Linked DNA regions of Cricetulus griseus. The protein of the gene in region 1 purifies or fractionates together with the protein of each later gene. This does not show direct contact. Links are inferred from orthologs where the notes say so. Each region holds a gene or a part of one and is shown in the gene's direction. Other genes may lie near its edges.

The links.
Region 2: the proteins of Ddx39a (region 1) and Thoc1 purify together in Homo sapiens (affinity purification with mass spectrometry; 3 studies listed by BioGRID and IntAct, with this or other methods). This does not show direct contact. The link is inferred for Cricetulus griseus from reciprocal best matches to the Homo sapiens genes DDX39A and THOC1.
Region 3: the proteins of Ddx39a (region 1) and Api5 fractionate together in Homo sapiens (co-fractionation; 3 studies listed by BioGRID, with this or other methods). This does not show direct contact. The link is inferred for Cricetulus griseus from reciprocal best matches to the Homo sapiens genes DDX39A and API5.

What each region holds. Positions count from the first base shown.
Region 1 is NC_048596.1:160,700,612-160,704,699, reverse strand, and holds the start of Ddx39a (ATP-dependent RNA helicase DDX39A), read left to right. Parts: upstream 1-1,232; 5' UTR 1,233-1,389; intron 1,390-4,088. UniProt on the Homo sapiens protein: Helicase that plays an essential role in mRNA export and is involved in multiple steps in RNA metabolism including alternative splicing. Regulates nuclear mRNA export to the cytoplasm through association with ECD.
Region 2 is NC_048595.1:236,160,817-236,164,466, reverse strand, and holds the end of Thoc1 (THO complex subunit 1), read left to right. Parts: intron 1-1,628; coding exon 1,629-1,776; intron 1,777-2,365; coding exon 2,366-2,441; intron 2,442-3,077; coding exon 3,078-3,373; 3' UTR 3,374-3,484; downstream 3,485-3,650. UniProt on the Homo sapiens protein: Component of the THO subcomplex of the TREX complex which is thought to couple mRNA transcription, processing and nuclear export, and which specifically associates with spliced mRNA and not with unspliced pre-mRNA.
Region 3 is NC_048599.1:82,289,069-82,292,718, forward strand, and holds part of Api5 (apoptosis inhibitor 5), read left to right. Parts: intron 1-1,299; coding exon 1,300-1,461; intron 1,462-3,071; coding exon 3,072-3,165; intron 3,166-3,650. UniProt on the Homo sapiens protein: Antiapoptotic factor that may have a role in protein assembly. Negatively regulates ACIN1. By binding to ACIN1, it suppresses ACIN1 cleavage from CASP3 and ACIN1-mediated DNA fragmentation. Also known to efficiently suppress E2F1-induced apoptosis.

The sequences.
Region 1 (4,088 bases):
CCAGACAATGCAGATAACATGCTTCAAGACCGGGTTTTTGTAGCTAAGGATGGGGAAGGGAGAAGAACAAAGGGCAGAATGGAGAAGTTTACCTTTTCAGAACGCAGGGTCTGTTGTCTCTTTTGTATCATCTGTAATCCCCAAATAGCTGGCTTTCTGGAGCTATAAACTAAGGTTATGGCCAATGCTTTTTTTTTTTTTTTTTTTGGAGTAGTGATCTTTTACTAGGGAACCTGAGGCAGGAGACCAACTGAGTCCAGTGTATACAACGTAGGAGTAAAAGAGTTTTGTGTTTTTGTTTTTTTTTTTTTTAACTTTTTTTGTGTTGTTTTGTTTTTCGAGACAGGGTTTCTCTGTGTTGCTTTGGAGGCTGTCCTGGAACTCGCTCTGTAGCCCAGACTGGCCTCGAACTCACAGAGATCCACCTGCCTCGGCCTCCCCAGTGCTGGGATTAAAGGCGTGCACCACCAACACCCGGCTTTTTAATTTCTTTTTAAGGGTTAAAAAAAAGAGCTGGGCGTTGGTGGCGCATGCCTTTAATCCCAGCACTCAGTAGGAAGACGCAGGCGGATCTTTGTGAGATCGAGGCCAGCCTGGTCTCCAGAGCGAGTGCCAGGATAGGCTCCAAAGCTACACAGAAAAACCCTGTCTCGAAAAACCAAATAATAATAATAATAATAATAATAATAAATAAAAAATGAGCTAAGTAGTGGTGGCACATGCCTTGCCTGTCTCAAATCCCCCCAAAAAAGAAAAAAGGAAAAGAAAAGAAAAAAATCAAAACCAAAAAACAAACAAATTGGGTCAAGTGGTGACGGCAACACACCTTTAATCCCAACAATCATGAGGCAGAGGCAGGTGGATCTATGCCAGCCTGATCTACAGAACCAGCTCAATGGCAGTTAGGGCTACACAGAGAAACCCTGTCTGGAAAAAAAGCAACCAACCGACCCACCAGACAAGAGTCAAAAATTCTATGACAGCAGGAAACTACACTTTAAAAGGGTGGGGCACAAGCATGGGCAATTAACAGGCGGTTGCCAGTACTAAATATGGCAGCATCCTTTTAGCCCTACACTCACCTCACGTGACGGGCCAGGGCGGGGCCGCAGCTTAGCTCAGCCCCATAGGACACGCCCACTCCTGATTACCCAATGAACCTGAGGCTGCAGGCACGCCCTCTTTCACCCCTTTCACCAATAGCCGGCCGACAGCGTCCTTATAAACCAATCATCACTTTTTCCTCAGTTGAGTGATAAGTCAACGGCCCAGTGAGCAAGACCCGAGTCGGGCCGCAGACAGGAAGCGTTGCCGCTCGCGTCCAGGGGCGCGACGTACAACCAGACGGACGGCTCTCCTCGCAGCTCGCGGAGGCGAACCGGGCGACAGGTAAGTGGTGGGTCCCGAGCTCGGGGCCGCAAGTCGGGGCTGTGGGTTTGCTGAAGACGCCGCGGTGCAGCGGGAGGAGTGGGCGCGAGGCGGCAGGGCGGTTAGGAACCCACCTCGAGCTGGCGGCCGTTGGGCTCCCGCGCGCATGCGCCAGGGGCGGGCCAGCCGTTAGTGTGTCGGCTTCCGGGAACGGTGTTATGGCGGCCCTCGGAGGCCGGCCTGTGTATCGTGGCGGGATTGATGCAGAGGGCGGCCTCAGGCTGGGGTTCGGGTCGCAGCCGGACGACCCGGGCCCTCGTGGGCAGAGTCTGCAGTCACCTGCCTCCTGTCTTCCTTTGCCGCTTTCCCAGGAGGTTTCTCCTCCAGACTCGGGAGGCCGGTGTGGCGGCTCACAGGAGCCGGGTCTTTCACCCGGTGTCGCCTTCCCGGTGTGAGGCGGCTCAGCCCGGTTGCATCTCATCTTCTCTGGCCCTGATTGAAACTTTAGGTCTGGGATAGCCACTTCCTGGGTTCACTTGTTTCATTTTCTGTACCTGATGGAACCCAGGCCTGACGAATTTGTGGGTATCCGCTCCGAGTAGCACCCCAACTCGTTCCTGAAACATTTGGTGTATCCCATCTTTTTTTGTTGCTGTTGTTTTTTGTTTGTTTTTTGTGTTTTCTAGACAGGGTTTCTCTGTGTAGCTTTGGAGGCTGTCCTGGAACTCGCTCTGGAGACCAGACTGGCCTCGAACTCAGAGATTCGCCTGCCTCTGCCTCCCGAGTGCTGGGATTAAAGGCATGCACCACCAACGCTCAGCCCCATCTCGTGTTTTGAGACAGGATCTTTGTACACTGGAATTCACTATGAACTCAGTGAAATCCACTTGTGTCTGCCTCCGGAGCGCTGGGATTAAAGGCGTGCACCACTACGCTCGGCTTCACCTTTATCCCTTAACTAGGACAAGAAACGTTTTTAGATCTATACTGCCTCAAAACAGTACATATGTATGAGGGGGCCATAAGGTTCTCATGAAGTTGAGGCTGTCCTTGAATTTTTTATTCACGTGGGTGTGTGAATGACTGTGTGCAGGTGCTCTTGGAGGCCGGAAGAGGGACTCGAACCTCTACTTGGAGTTAGAAGGTGGTTGTGAACTGAAAAATCGCCCGAAAGCATCAAGCGTTTTAACCGGTCTGCCACACCTCTCTTGTCCTGAATGCCCAAGGTTTTTTTTTTTTTTTTTTTTTTATTGCTGAAATAAGATCTCTATGTAGCCTTGGCTGGCCTGGAGGTCACTGGAAAAATTGCCCAGGCAATTTTAAAGTTCATTTTAGTATAGACTGGGCATTTGGGGGGGGGGGCGGGGTTGAGATAGGAGGATCGGGAATTCAAGGCTGGCCTAGGTCCTGCATAAATCCCTTTCTCAAATAAAAATAGATACACCATCTTGGCCATTCACATGTTTGAGCCAGAGATGTCTGGTTCTACTCTACCCGGGGATGGCTCTGACCTATTTGGTGTCCTCCTTATTGCCCCTGGATAATTCTCTTTCCATGCCTGTTTTTCCCAGCTGTTGGCCTTATGCTCCACTCCATCTTGAGCAAATTCTTTTTTTGGAGGGGGTGCTGTTTGCGACAGGGTTTCTCTGTGGCTTTGGAGGCTGTCCTCCAACTAGCTCTTGTAGACCAGGCTGTTCTGGAACTCAGAGATCTGTCTCTGCCTCCAGAGTGCTGGGATTAAAGGTGTGTGCCATCCATGTTCTCCCCCCCCTCACACACACACTTTTTGTGTATGTGGTGTATTTGTCTATATCAGAGGGACAATTTGTCACTTCTATGTGGATTCTGGGGAATCCTGCCCTTTCCTACTGAGTAGTAACCTTTCTTGACTGGCAAATGAACCTGTCCCTTTGCTGCTGCAGTGGACTGGTGTAAGTTTGCCGCCTTAAGGCCCTAGTTGTAGTTCCAGTCATTTACCACCACTGCTGCTGACTGCCAGGTCCTCTTCTACATATGAGATCAGGTTGGCGAGATGAGTGTTTTTGTTTGCTTATTTTTCAAGACAGAATTTCTCTGTGTAGCCTTGGCATGGAATTCAATTTGTGGACCAGGCTGACCTTGAACTCAGATTTGCCCGCCTCTGCCTTCCGAGTGCTGGGCTCAAAGGTGTGTGCCACCACACCCAGCTAAGAAGGATTCTTTTAAATTGATGCTAACAGAAGTACACTTTTGGAGAATAAGCACCCAACTAAATGGTGCTGGAGAGGGGAGATCATGACCCATGCATGTGGTAAGGTGTGTGTGGGGGGTGGGGGGTTGTTGAGATAGGGAGATAACGTCTCACTATGTAGGCCTTGGCTGTGTAGACCAGGCTGACCCGAAACTCTTCAGGTCTGCTTGCATCTGTCCTGAATGCTGTTATTAAGGATGTTTGCCACCACCTGACATTTTGGAAATATTTTATTTGGCTGTGGTGATGGCAAATGGTGTATTATTATATTCACTCTGAGACCCTCCTCCCCCCAAGTGCTATAGAGCAAGTTCCAGGACAATCAGCTACACAGAGAAAATCCAACTCAAAAATTTACGTGTGACTCTTGCCTGCATGTGTGTGCCGTACACCACTTGAGTTGCCTGGTGCCCAAAGAGGCCAAAAGGCTTAGATCCCAGGAACTATTATAGTTGTGGATAGGTACTAGGAACCAAACTTGTGTTCTTTA
Region 2 (3,650 bases), on another chromosome or scaffold:
AGCATCTGCCAGGAAACAGACCTGTCATGGCAGCTATGGAACCACTCACACTGTTTGCCTTTTGCTTTGCTGTCCCCTCCACCCTAGATTTCTGGGGTAACTTTTAAGACTCACCATCTTTTATCTAAAGAGTTTCATGTGACAGTATTTTTAGGTAGGTGTTTTGGAGTTGTGATTTAAAGGCAGGGGCTCTCGTCAGAATGTGTAAGTTCCCATCCTTGTGCCTTTTCTCATTTGCTAAATAATAGCCACTCATTTCACAGAGTTATTCTGAAGATTAAATGGTTCGTTTTGATCCATATACAGCATGTTGCTGACACATGATATAAATGACTAGTTTTGACCCCATGATACGTTTTTACATGCTCCAACCTCTTAACCAGTGTGTTCTATTCTCCATGCACCAGAGAGTGATCTTTTGAATATATACAGGGAAGAAAAATGTATCAGAGATTAAGGGTGCTGGCTGTTCTTTCCAGAGTCTGAAATGACATCTTCTGGCCGCCTTTGGCATACACAGATAATCATGCAGGCAAAACACCCATATACATAATAAAAGTCTAAAGTATACAAGAAATTATGTTGGGCATGGTTATACACACCTTTCATCCCAGCACTCAGACACAGAGGCACGTGGATTCTGAGTTTGAGGCCACAAGTCTACATGGTAAGACCTTGCCTAATAATAAATACATACATACAGACAGACAGACACAAAGGGCAGGCAAGGTAGTAGCACACACACAGAAAGAGTGGACATGGGAGCACATACTTATAATCCCAGCACTCTGGAGGCTAAAGCAGGAGGATTAAGTTTGAGGTTAGTGTGGCTTATAGAGTAAGATCCTATTAGTAAAATACGCACAAGTCTCATCTCGTGCTTAAAATGAAGAGTGTATATCAGAGTTAATAAGAGGCCACCAAATAAACCAGATTGCAGATCTGTGCTAAATACAAAGAACATAACAAAGCCCAAGATAGAATCCGTTTATTGGGGGCGGGAGTCCTTAGGATTTCTCATAGGTTCTTTTTCCTCACCTTCTGATTCTTTTCTTGACATCAGTGTGTCACTACTGTGGGTACTGGATATTTGCTCTTTTGACATTTTGAGCCATTTTTAATCATTGACATTGAAATTAAGTGAACTAAAGATTAGCTGTTACATAAACACAACTCTAAATACAGGTCCCTTATTGAAAATACTTGCGGCTGTGTTTTCAGATTTTCCCCCCCATATTTGGAACATTTTAGACCCTAGCAGGTAAGCATTTTAAGAAAAGTTAAACACTTAAGGTTTTAGGTTAGAGATCTCCAACTTGTATTAGTTACATTAACATGATAAACTCGAATTTATGAAATACTCTAAACTCACATATCTGTAGGTAGCAATGCAGATACAGATACCAACCAACTCACCAAATATCATTTTTCCTATCTTTCCTTTTCTTCTGTATAACTGGATGAATAGTTTCTATGTAGCCAGGGGTTGAGACATAGACCACTGACTTGCTAAAATAAGCAAAATATATAAACTTTCAAACTAAAGGATGGTACAAAATGTCATGTGACATGGAAACAACTATGGAAGTGGATAATTATAAATCCAAGGCTAACAACTCCTCTTACAGAGCTGTGAACAATTCAAATTATGGGTGGAGAGCTCTCAGGCTCTTAGCACGAAGAAGCCCTCACTTCTTCCAGCCAACCAACCAGCAATTTAAGAGTCTGCCAGAGTACCTGGAGAACATGGTAATAAAGCTAGCCAAGGAACTACCAGTAAGTGACATACTTCATTTTTCCCATTTCCTTTAGTAGACATTATCTGCTTTAAAACTGCTATCAGTATTTGAGCAGAACTCAAATTTTAGTGTATCACACAACAGTAGTAGTGGGGGCGGGGGAGGACACACACAACTTGAGGCAGAGGTTGTTGTTGAACATTCACTTAGGGAGAAAATGTGAACCAAGAGTGGTATAATTTTCTGTGCAACACCCAATTTATCAACATGTTGGAAAAAGCTACTGCCTGCAGTAAATTGGATCAGTTTTTGCTCTTACCAAATGTATTTTACTATATTTTGTCAAGAGCAGGGTCTAGGAGTAGCAGTAGGGTACCTGGCAGTGTTTTCTTATAGTACGGTAACCATAGACATGGTTAATCTCTATTGCCCCTTAGACAATACTGACTAAAGCCTAGGTGTTTACCAACCTGCTTGTTCATGCTTCTCTGTCTTCCTTCTGCCCAAAATGACAGGACCTACAGGTTGAGAGGGTCTGAGGTCCATTAATTACCTATCTAAACTATTTCCTGTTATCTTCAGAAACTAGTGTTTTTTTAAACACCATTGTTTCTCATTTACTATAGCCTCCTTCTGAAGAAATAAAAACAGGTGAAGATGAAGATGAGGAAGATAATGATGCTTTACTGAAGGAAAATGAAAGTAAGAATTGAATTTTTGAATTGAAATTGAATTTTTTGGCTATTTCACAAAACTGAAAAAGATTAGGGTTCTTTGTTGAGAGGTACATTGTATAATTTGGTCTACTTCTCAACTTCTACCATTTTATCTCAGTTTACAGTGAGATTAAAGCCATTAGTCACTTAAAATACATTTTATATAGGGAAATTTGGAAATAATTTTAAAGATAAAAAAGATGGGTGTTTTAAGGCAGAGCCTTGAACTCTGCTAATTTAATTGGGGCTAGAAGGAACATCTCTATGGGAAAATCTTCCTAATTAATATAGCTTTGAGCTGGGCGTTGGTGGTGCACGCCTTTAATCCCAGTACTCGGAAGGCAGAGGCAGGCGGATCTCTGTGAGTTCCAGGCCAGCCTGGTCTTCAGAGCGAGTGCCAGGATAGGCTCCAAAGCTACACAGAGAAAAACCCTGTCTCGAAAAACCAAAAAATAAAAAATAATTGCCTGAATTGTGATTTTTTTTTTTCCTAAGAAGGTATGTAACCTATGTAGAATTAAGTTTTAAAGTAAAGCTTAATGTGACTAGTAACCCAGTTTTTTGTTGTTGTTCTTTAAGCTTTGCAGGTCTTTCAGATAATTTATATCCTCTTGTCTTCTAGGCCCTGATGTTCGGCGAGATAAACCTGTAACAGGGGAACAGATAGAGTTATTTGCCAACAAACTTGGTGAGCAATGGAAGATTTTGGCTCCGTACTTAGAAATTAAAGACTCTGAAATTAGGCAGATTGAGTGTGACAGTGAAGACGTGAAGATGAGGGCCAAGCAGCTCCTTGTTGCCTGGCAAGATCAAGAAGGAGCTCATGCAACAACAGATAACCTGATCAGCGCACTAAACAAGTCTGGATTAAGTGACCTTGCTGAAAGCCTAACTAATGACTCCGAGACAAATAGTTAGCTTGCTTTCTTTTCTTTCTTTTTTATTAAACTGTGATAAGATTTTGTTACCAAGCGGCATTTGATAAGAGGTCCAGTGGTTTTGGTAAACAATAAACAGTTTTATAACAGCTGTTGCACAGTTGGTTAGTGCTTCAAGAACTACAAAACAGGCACTGTCTAAACCTTAGTTTGGAGTATAGGAAGGTGAGGTGGGAAAATGGCCCAAGTAAAATGACTATCACAGACCACATTTTGTAAGTATGTTTATAATGAAGTTAAATAAGCATTCTTTATGA
Region 3 (3,650 bases), on another chromosome or scaffold:
GGTTTTAGAAAAGCATCAAAATATTTATAGTTGGGTCTGGTGAGGTGGCTCAGGGGCTAAAAACACCAGTTGCTCTTGCCAAGTGAGAACCTAGGTTCAATTCCCTGCACCCACATGCTGGCTCACAACTGTCTTGTTATGTCATGCTGGGCAATACACATACATAGTACTTAAGTTCCATGAAGAGTGATATCATGCCTGCATTTCATGAAGAAGGTAGCCTTATTCGTGGACATGTCTGTTTATGAGAAGCTGACTGTCTGTTTCACATGTCCATAACTCCATTCTGCTTTATTTGTCATTCAGCCCAGTATTAGCCACAAAAGGTGTTAGGATAAAAGTTTGGTGGATATTTATTAGTTACTCTCTCTTCCTGGTATGAAGTAAGTACAGCACTCAGTATATCCCCTGGCAAAGTGGCCACCACTGTGTCCAATGTAGTATCAAGATTACAGTTTAGGGAACTTTATTCTTATTGATGTTGCATTTATATGGCCATACAGAAGTTACTCTGTATTTCTTGCCATTTAGTAAAAGCACCAGTTGGGAGGTATCCTTATAAGGACAACTGGGAACTTGTTGAGAATTTACATTGAATGCCCGAGAACACTTAAAAATTATTTGACAGAAATGTGAGCTTTGGGTGTATTCTCATGTGCAATGAATGTTAGAATTTGTCTTAATCCAAAATTGGCTGGCTATATAAATTGTTGCTGCTTTCACATTCTAAAATAGAAGATGAAATTAAACTTTGCTAAAATTACTTAATTTCAGAGATGTATTCCTTTCACCTTTCTCGAGATACTAGTTAGAACAGGTCCTTGTAGGTGGGAGGCAGGGTAAGACAGGTCTTGCTATGTAATTTACACTGTCTTCAAACTTGCCACCTTCTTGCCTCAGCTATCTGAATACTTCTTGCATTACAAGTGTATACCACTATGCCTGGCCACTGGTATCTTTTAGTAAATGTAACACAACTTTGAGAATTCTACAGTCTCCACGTTTTTAAAGCATGACACAGTCATAAGGCCTTGTGGTGATACCTATGATGGGATGTTGGGACATTTAACAACTTAACTTGCTTTTTCCCATTTAAAATTAGGGTCATATTTCTCTTTCCTAATTGACAAATAAAATGGGCTAGGCTGTGGGGAATAGGGAACTAGAGTAAAAAGGTCATGTCCAGTTTAAGCAGTAAAACTCTAGTGTTTATAAACATTTGGAGCATTCGTGCATGTGTAGCAAATCTCTCCATAGCTTCTAGTGCTTCAGCATTGTTTCTTTTTATCTTCCTTCCAGCATAAAGATGCCTACCAAGTGATACTGGATGGCGTGAAAGGCGGCACCAAGGAGAAACGATTAGCAGCTCAGTTTATTCCAAAATTCTTTAAGCATTTTCCTGAACTGGCTGATTCTGCAATCAATGCACAGTTAGACCTCTGTGAGGATGAAGATGTGTCAGTAAGTTTATGATTGACACTTCAATAAGCATGCTACTATTTCTATGTAAAAGTAACATGATAAAAGTAGTGATAAGTCCATAATCCATTATCATGGTATGGTTACCTTGTACCAGACCCAGAATGAATGCTACACCTTAGAAAATACTGTTTACTATTTTGTATTTATGAAAAGGGCATGGAATAACAAATTTCATTATCCACTGGTAAAAATGAAATGTAGCTCATATCTTTCTTAGATTATCATTCATGCTTCATATGAAATTAGGTTGTTGGTTGATTCAGTGTTTGTACTTGTAGTTGTATTATATGTGTCATAAAACATAGTTGGTCACTGTAATACTTGTAACTGATCACCAGATTTAAGAATGGATCCTTTTTCCATGGTGCAGAATTAACTGTTAGCATTTCTAGTTACTAGTGCAGGCTTCTAAAAATTTTTTCAGCAATTAGCTCTTTAACTTTCTAAATGAAATCAGTGAATCACTAGCATTTCATGCAGAGTATGCTAGATAAAGTCTCCATCGTTTTTAATGTAAGAGCTAGTAAATTGGAATCTTTTTTAATTCAAATTAAGTAATCAATATAGGTTCTAAAATAATTCCTGGTGTGGGCTCTGTTATGGATGCTGTTCTAGAGGAACGGCGTATTAACATGCCTAAAAGTCACAACCCAACAGTTGTACATAAGTCACATACAAAGATGTTTGTTATCGCTGAGCTCTCTGCTCCAGTCTGGTACTTAATATCCCTTTCAACTGCATTTGTCTGTTCTGTGAAACCTAAATAGTAAGTTGAGCCAGTAGCACATTTCTTAGTCCCAGCTACCTAGGAGCCTGAGACAAGAGGATCCCTTGAGCTAAGAAGTTTATGGCCAGTCTTGGCAACATGACAGTATCATGTTTCAAAAACAAACGGGGCAAATTGTTTTTAAAACTGTTACAAACAGGAGAGATGGCTCAGCAATTAAGAGCACCTGTTGCCCCTATAAAGGACCTGTCCCAACACCCACAGGTGCTCACAGTGGCCTCTAACTTCAGTTCCAAAGGATCCAGTGCCCTCTTCTGTCCCTCTGTCCTTTCTGGGCACCAGCGCATAGGTAGTGCACACATCTACACACACAGAGTCATAAATAAAAATAAAAATCTTTAAATAATGAACTCATCTTTATGAATGGTGAGATGGCTGAGCAGGTAAAGATACATTATACATAAGCCTAACAGCCCTAAGTTGAGTCCGCACAACCCATTGAAAAGTGGAAAGAATGAGCCAACTTCACAGTGTTGTCTTCTGACCTCATGGGTATTATGCCATGTTTACCTCCCTCTCCCCTGGTTCACAGATGTACACAATAATTAAACTATCTTAAGAAAAAGCATCATACATTTTACAATTCATGTGCTCTTTAGTATGGTTTTTTCTTGGTTTTAGTTATCTTTTTTTTTTTTCCTCCGAGACAGGGTTTCTCTTTGGCTTTGGAGGCTATCCTGGAACTAGTTCTTGTAGACCAGGCTGATCTCAAAAGTTTTAGTTATTTTAAAAGTTGAGTTTGTTTTTGCTTTTTTATGATGATGCCATTTTAGTTATTTTGTTTGTTTGAAATCATGCCCAGATACGACGCCAAGCAATTAAAGAGCTGCCTCAATTTGCCACTGGAGAGAATCTGCCAAGAGTAGCAGATATACTGACCCAACTTCTACAGACAGGTGAGAGGTTCTTTTGTTACCTTTTAATCGAAATATTCTCTCTAGAATACTGGCGGTTACTTTTTTGGTTTTAAATTCTGTTTATAAAGGCATAAGGGTGGGCTTCTCTTCAAACTTGTAACACATTATCATTTCACCTGTTGAGGTTCTTTTGTTACCTTTTAATCGAAATATTCTCTCTAGAATACTGGCTGTTCTTGACTGTTTTGCTTGGGTGGTGAGCCTAGAGGTCCTGCCTCTGGCAGATGAAATTGAACTTCTTTCTTTTATTCAATATTGTAAAACTCACTTGACTTCTGAGTCTGTTACTTTTTTGGTTTTAAATTCTATTTATAAAGGCATAAGGGTGGGCTTCTCTTCAGACTTGTAACACTTTATCATTTCACCTGTTTCCTATGGTGAGACACTGGTGCTATCTTAACATACATGTTTCCCAGTCATTCTCTATCCCTGTAAAAGAATGATGGGTGCCTGATTCTTGAAAG